2 linked regions of the Sus scrofa genome follow. The protein of the gene in region 1 interacts with the protein of each later gene in a pairwise test. Links are inferred from orthologs where the notes say so. Each region holds a gene or a part of one and is shown on either strand. Other genes may lie near its edges. The genes, in order: UBE2U and RNF144B.

Region 1 (3,826 bases):
TAACTCCAAAATCCCTTGCTCTTAAGGCTTGGGTTCTATTCCTTCCTGTCTAGTGCACTTTTTGCCGACTGCTGTCACATATAGTACTTAAGTGCCTTTCACTTACAAGTTTAACACAGAGGAAGGCTTTACCCCAGGTGCCACCAATGATGTTATCAATGTCCACAGGTGCCATAGCTGTTTCATCACAAACAATATGGAGAATTTTTAAAAAATGGAAGGGTCAAGGGACTACTTAAGACTAGAAAGCTGTGCATAGGAAGGTGTAGAGTCCTTATCAACAGCTCCTTCAGGTATAGTTCAATGGCATTGCTCGGTTTCCACTCCTGCCGTGGAAGCATTGTCTTAGTGGATGCTAGGAACAATTACTGAGTTCAACATCAAACATCCTAGAGGCGTGAAAGTAACATTGGATACTGTTCCTGCTCCACCTGAATTTGTGGCTTGCTGTTGAAAGAAAATTTGATGAAGGGAGAAATGATATGTAAATATAGTTGATGTAGATAATAAAAGATGTAATGGTTATTCAGACTAGCACTCAACATAGCTAATAACTGTGTGGTTGCTCAGAGTGTTTATTGACTATGTTTAAGCATATTCCTCAGTGTAATGAATAACCTTTATCTATGAAATGTATTCTTGTTTCTCCATTGGAATAATAGCTCAAGTGTTTTATTCTTATATATGAGCGTGCTATTGGAGTTGTGTTTTACTTAATGAAATTTTTCTTACTTTATACTTATATAGCCTCCATATGGCTTTTAAAGGCTTTGAAGAAATGCATGCTTCTAACTATTCTTTTCGAAATTTGAATCTTATATTGTCTGTTGATTTGCATAAGCCACACATTCCATTCATGACCTTCCTATCCCACTCATGATTTCCACACTAATGATTTATTTTAAATGTACTTTTTTGTGTGTTTTCTGGTATCTGCCTTAACTTCTGTGAAGTAAGACAATATATAACACCTTCCCAAATCAAAAAATAAAGAAATTTATCAGAAAAAGAAAATGCAGAGCTTCGGGAATTTATTGCAACCTAATATTTGATTTTCAAAGCTGCAATAACTAATCCTTTTTCTGCTTTGATTTTTCTTAATTAAAGGGTATTAATGCCTTTCCTATCAGTGAAGATTTGTTGGAATGGGAAGTTGATATTAAAGGTCTGCAGAATACAATTTGGCAAGGTTTGTGCTTTCAAACATACTTTACTTTTTTAAAAGTCTTTATGTTATTAGTCTAATTTCTTTAATGTTGCATTATATACTTTTTTGAGAATTCTAAAAGTATTCACATGTTATTTTTTCATCGTATGGCTTAATTTTATTGCTATTTGTTAACATGGGTGTGAATTTCAGGCCTGAATTTTTCTTTATGCCACATCTTAATATCATGTTTTTAAGAAGCAGAACGTAAAGCATATCAATTGAAAATATCATCTCACAGTCTTCCATGAAACCAGAGAAGGGCAATTAAAATACATACTGGCATAAAAATCCCACAGCTATGTCTCATTCTTTTCCCTCTTTGATTTTCTCACAAATCTCCACAAATCAAATTCTCAAGAAGACTAGGGTGCTATAAACTTTAATGACCATGCACTCGTACAGAAGCAGATTAACAGGATATATTTGTTTGGGTGAAGTAGGAGAGAAAAACAGGTTAAGTGGATAATTACAGTAAAATATAATGTGCCATTATGGATTTTGAATGGATGACTGAGAAGGCCGTGATTAATTTTGCCTTAGAGATTCAGGAACAGCTTCCCAAGGAAGTGACACTTGAGTTGAGTCCTGAAGAATGTATGAGTGATGGCCAGATTTAGAATGAGAAGGTGATCCAGGCAGAGCAAAGAGCCTAGCAAAAGCCTCTATACAAGAGAGGGTTCTGAAGCAATGAGCTCAGTAAATATGAGGTGCACAATGAAGGGGACACAGTAAATATGAGATTCCACAGAGTCTGTGGGTGGAAAGGACTGGTGGGAATGGAAATGCTGAAAACAGGAGATTAGATTGTGAGGACTCTTATTACACTGTTTAGTGGGGTCTATAATCCAATTTACCTGTTCATAAAATCCTTGGGACCTTGGGGAGTCAAAACTGTGCAAAGAAACTCCAGTGTTAATCAGGTTACAGTTAATCAGTACGTGACACTTTAGTAAAAATGTTTATTTCTATATCATAGGATCATTCTTCCAACTGACAATAAGTTTTACATCAGAGTACAATTTTGTCCCTCCAGTTGTGCGATTTAGAACGATTCCTTTTCATCCAAATGGTAAGGAACAAATGAAGTTATTATTGTCATGGGCTCTTTCCCTATTAACCTTATTCTTTATAGTGTTTAATAATGATTCCTTTTAATCACTTTGTTATGATTATAAAAGTCAGCGTACTTACTCAGGAAAATATTAAAAGGCATAAAAAATTATCCATCTGATTCCTAATTCAGACAGATGCAACTCTCAACATTTAACCACATTTATTTCCTTTCTTCTGCATATGCATTTTATCTGCATAGTTGAGGTATTTCCACATAAAGTTTTATATCTTTTTTACTTAAAATGACAGAATACATTTATTTCTGTATTATTAAACATTCTTCAAAGAAAACTTTTAATGACTGAATGATAAACGTAACCATTCCTGCGTTGTTCAGTATTTTAGTTGGATCTAATTTTTTACTTAAAAAAAAATGATGCACTGACAAATTAACATCTTAAAAAGAAGTTAGATTGCAACTTCAAGTTATGCAAATTGTTGATCAGTTATAAATGTAAAAATTTCGACTATTAAAACGAAGACAACCTAATAGAATTTTTAATATGCTGGTGAGGAAGGCTTTTCTAAAAATAACAAAACCTAGAAACTACGAGAAAAGCATGACACATTAAATTGCATAAACTTTAAAAAATGTCTCTGTAACTAACAACATTATAAAGAGACAAAACTGCATTGACATTTGTAAAGTGAGGAAAAATATTTGAAAGGCATAAATTAGAATGTTTATAATATGTAAAGACCACCTGTAAATCAATAAGAAAAACATAAAGCAATAGAAAAATGGGCAAAGGTTATAAACCAACATTTGATAGAAAAAACGTAGTGAAAATAAACATAAAAAGATGTCAGCTTCACTAGAAAGAAAATAAATGTTAAAAATAATAACACAGGCATTCCCATTGTGGCCCAGCAGTTAACAAACCATGAGGACGCATGTTCGATCCCTGGCCTCGTTCAGTGGGTTAAGGATCTAGCATTGCCATGAGCTATGGTGTAGGTCACAGACGTGGCTCAGATCCTGCGTTGCTGTGGCTCTGGTGTAGGCCTCTGACTCCAGCTCTGATTCAGCCTCTAGCCTGGCAACCTCCATATGCCATGGGTGTGGCCCTAAAAAGACAAATAATAATAATAATAACAACAACACAGGAGTTCCCTCCTTGTGGCTCAGTGGGTTAAGGATCCAGCATTGTCATGCTGTGGCTTGGGTTGGGGCTGTGGTATGGGTTCGACCCCTGGCCCAGGACCTTCAACATGCTGTGGACATAGCCAAAAAAATAATAATAACATACAGTTACAGTACAGGTGGGCAAACAAGAGTTCTCTGATATAATGATATATAGAGTGACCTTGTGGGGAAGCAATTTGACAGTTTCATATCAGATATAAAGTGCAAATAGTCCTAAATCCTTGTAATACCATGTTTATAAATTATTTCATAGAAATGCTAGCACAAGTATGAAAGAATATGTTTTCTTCTATTTGAAGTATAATAGATTTACAATATTATGTTAGTTTTAGGTATGCAGCAAAGTGTTGCAGAAC
Region 2 (3,826 bases), on another chromosome or scaffold:
GAAATAAGCAGCTGTGCTATTTTAAAATGGGAACTACAATCTATGGAAACAACTACAGGGCAGCACTAGCTCCTGGTAAATACGCAATACTGCCTCTGCTCATGCAGTTTACTCTTTACCCAATGCTGATGCACAAATCCGAATTCTACTGCATGAGATCTCATTGCAAAAAGTGAATTCCATGTCCTGCTCTTCAACTTCAGTAATCCTCAGACAAGAATGTCCCTTCTGGCTTTAACCAAATGTGGCTTCTGACTCATTTGTTTCAAAGGTTAGCAAGGGTCTGAGACCGATGTGAGAAAATCTAAGAAAACAGTTTTGAAGCACAGCATTCAGAAACAAAGCAACACCAAAGGAAACCGAAGCTGCCCTGTGATGACAAGGCCATTTCCTCACTTCCCGTCAAGTAACACAAGATGAGGAAGAACCAGCACAAACATCACTTCATGAACCCACCTCCCGTCCACGCAACTGTCACTGCAGTGTCCTGGCCCCACACTCCTAACCAGCTCTACCTTTTTTCTTAAATCCCTATTACCCACTCCTATGTAACTTATCTATTTGTTAGGCTTTTTTATTTATTTCTGATTTTTTGTCTTTTTAGGGCCGTACCTGCGGCATATGGAGATCCCACGCCAGGGGCGAATCAGAGCTGTAGCTGCTGGCCTACACCAGAGCCACTGCAATGTGGGATCCAAGCCATGTCTGCAACCTACACCACAGCTCATAGCAACACCAGATCCTTAACCCACTGAGTGAGACCACAGATCGAAACCACGTCCCCATGGATGCCAGTCAGTTTCGTTTCCGCTGAGCCACAAGGGGAACTCCTATTAGGCTTATGATTTATTATGTAACTCTTTGACAGAACACAAGTTCCTAAAAGCAAGGATCTCTGCTGGGTTTTGTTCTTTAACTGATAAATCCCAGTGCCCAGAACAATTCCCAGGACACAGAGGCTGCTCACTAGGTATCTGCTGAATGAAGGGATAAATGATACTATTCTTTCCATCTCTGGATCCTCCAGTTCAAAACATAAGGATTTTAGTTGCTTTCCTTTTTATCTCAAAATTATTCCAAGCCTTCTCTCTACCCTAATCCTCAATCCAAACAAATTTAAGAAAATTGATATAAACTAGCTTGAAAAAGCGTCGTGTTAAATTAACTTGGAAAAGAGAGATGGGCGTTCCCGTTGCGGACCAGGGGGTTAAAAACTTGACAAGTCTCCACAAGGATCCGGGTTCTATCACTGGCCTTACTCAGTGGGTTAAGGATCTGGCGTTGCCACAAGCTGCAGTGTAGGTCATAGATACAGCTTGGATCTAGTGTTGCTGTGGCTGTGATGTAGGCCTGTAGCTGCAGCTCTGATTCAGCCCCCAGCCTGAGAACGTCCCTACGCCACAGGTGCAGCCATAAAAAGAAAACAAAAAGGGAGAGAGAGGGAGACGGGGTAAAATTTATTTCACCTTAACTTGTTAACGTTTTTTAAAAAGCATGATTAGTAGGATGTCTTTTTTATAAGTGATTCTAGTATTTCCTCAATGATTCCTTTCTTCTTACTCCCCTTGATTTAAGTACCGATCACTGTTCAATTTCCTTCACAAGTCAGAGTATTAAACCCACATTGGTTTGGTAATTATACCTACTATATATTAAGTATTAACAGTGTACCCATGCAAGGCCTACCAAAGCAAAGATAAGTGGTGAATATTACTAATTTAGGCATCAGGCCCTCCCCTCCACCCTGCTGAGAGGCCTCAAACTCTCCCTAGCTGACTCTTAATCCATCCTTAATTTGAAAGTATAGTTCATTCAAATACATACAAGAGAGAGGTAGGTACCATAAACAGAAAAAAGATCATCTATTTCTGGGCCTACGAAGCTACAGGCCCAGAGTAGCTCTATCTTACTGTTTATTCATTTTGAAAAGGAAAAATTTACAAAATCCGTCATTTGAAATTTCCCAATTGGGGAGTTCCCATCGTGGCGCAGTGGTTAACGAATCCGACTAGGAACCATGAGGTTGCGGGTTCGGTCCCTGCCCTTGCTCAGTGGGTTAACGATCTGGCGTTGCCGTGAGCTGTGGTGTAGGTTGCAGACGCAGCTCGGATCCCGCGTTGCTGTGGCTCTGGTGTAGGCCAGTGGCTACAGCTCCGATTCAACCCCTAGCCTGGGAACCTCCATATGCCGCGGGAGCGGCCCAAAGAAATGGCAAAAAGACCAAAAAAAAAAAAAAAAAAAAAGAAATTTCCCAATTGGGGATGCAAACGAAAAGGTGCTGAGGCCATGGCATCAGTGTGCAGTCTCTTGTTTAAAACCTCAGCTCAGGAAAGCACTGTCGCCAGGAAGCCCCCTCCCATCCCCAAAGAGGAGGACCGACCTCTGTGGTCTAGGGATCCCTAATTTCACCAGACTTGTGTATAGTTCTTTCAACGTGTCTGTCTTCCCTACGGGAAGTATCCTTTTCCTCTTCATATTCCCAAGACCAAGCAGAGTGCCTGGCATATCGTAGGAGCTCGAAAAACACCTCAGTGAGTGAACACCTGAACAAGTGTCAATCTGGTCCACACTTCTAGGAGCCCCTTTGAACCCATTAGCCTGTTTGCTATTTTTACTCTTTAACCAGCCAATCTTCAGGAAAACATGTGATCAAGATCATAGGCATTGACACTAAGTGTCCAACTAAACGACACAAGCCCACCCTGGAGTTGTACAGGGTCCTCTTTATTATGAGGAATAAGCAGCATTCAGCATATTCTGAAAAGACAAAAAAATGTAAAAGGAGATACGACCAAGTAAACAGGTGTACACACCATGTGCTTTGTAGGAGATGAGCAAGCATATTAAAGACGATCCAGTAAATTGATACCTGATTTCGCCATCATTCAAACCACCTGATAAACTTCTTACAGATGGCTGTTAACTAAGGCATGTTAAAAAATGTCACTGTTTTGCTCCCTAGCTAGATTCTTAAGAACAGAAAGATACTGCTTATTTAACCAATAATTAAATTTCACACACGCATTACAGTAAAACCCAGTCAATACCAGGTTTACCATTCAAGATAGTATTTGGAATCAGATTCAAAGGTGGAACTGTTTCCCCAGGCAGGATCATATCGCAGCAGACTTGGGCTTCTCAGTAAGCCATAGACATGTAAGCTGTACTTGTACAAGTCTTTCTCTGTATTTTCTCATCATGAAAGAACCAAGGAAAACTTACGGCTGTGCAAAAGATGCAGCGGCATTCCTGGAGTGTGGTCATCTTGTCCAGAGACTGCTCACACAGGCAGAGTTTGCAAGTGACGAGGGGGGTCAGAGCCAGGTCTCCAGGCGTGGGATTTTCAGCGGGATTTTCGGCAGTCATGGTGAGATAGTGGAGGCTACCAACGGAGCTCATCAGCCTATTTTCAGCCTCTTCAGTCTCCTTAATCCCTACAGAAAGGCCCAAAGCAGAAAATATTACATCCATTGATACAGCTCTCGTTCCACCAACACATCTGGGCACCAGCAGAGCAAACTCTCATCCTCAGTGGCCTAAGGGCACAGAAAACGCATTTCTGAGAACCACGGGCTAGAGAGCTTGCCACTTGCACAGTATTTCTGGAGTCCTGAAACGGAAGTGGGCCTCACTGCCTGACTCATATCACATAAACTATGGGAATTAAAAGACCACTATGAACAAATATACTATTTAGGAACTGCATTGCTACAATCAATGCAACAGATTCAAAAAATCCTTATAAATAGAATGTCAAGCAAAAAAAAATAAAGAATTACCATATGATCCAGCAATTCCACTTCAAGGTGTACACCCCTGAAAGCAG

What was found.
Region 2: the proteins of UBE2U (region 1) and RNF144B interact in a two-hybrid assay, tested with the Homo sapiens proteins (2 studies listed by BioGRID and IntAct). The link is inferred for Sus scrofa from reciprocal best matches to the Homo sapiens genes UBE2U and RNF144B.

What each region holds. Positions count from the first base shown.
Region 1 is NC_010448.4:148,300,624-148,304,449, reverse strand, and holds part of UBE2U (ubiquitin-conjugating enzyme E2 U), read left to right. Parts: intron 1-1,107; coding exon 1,108-1,189; intron 1,190-2,186; coding exon 2,187-2,279; intron 2,280-3,826. UniProt on the Homo sapiens protein: Catalyzes the covalent attachment of ubiquitin to other proteins.
Region 2 is NC_010449.5:14,052,071-14,055,896, reverse strand, and holds part of RNF144B (E3 ubiquitin-protein ligase RNF144B), read right to left. Parts: intron 3,435-3,826; coding exon 3,223-3,434; intron 1-3,222.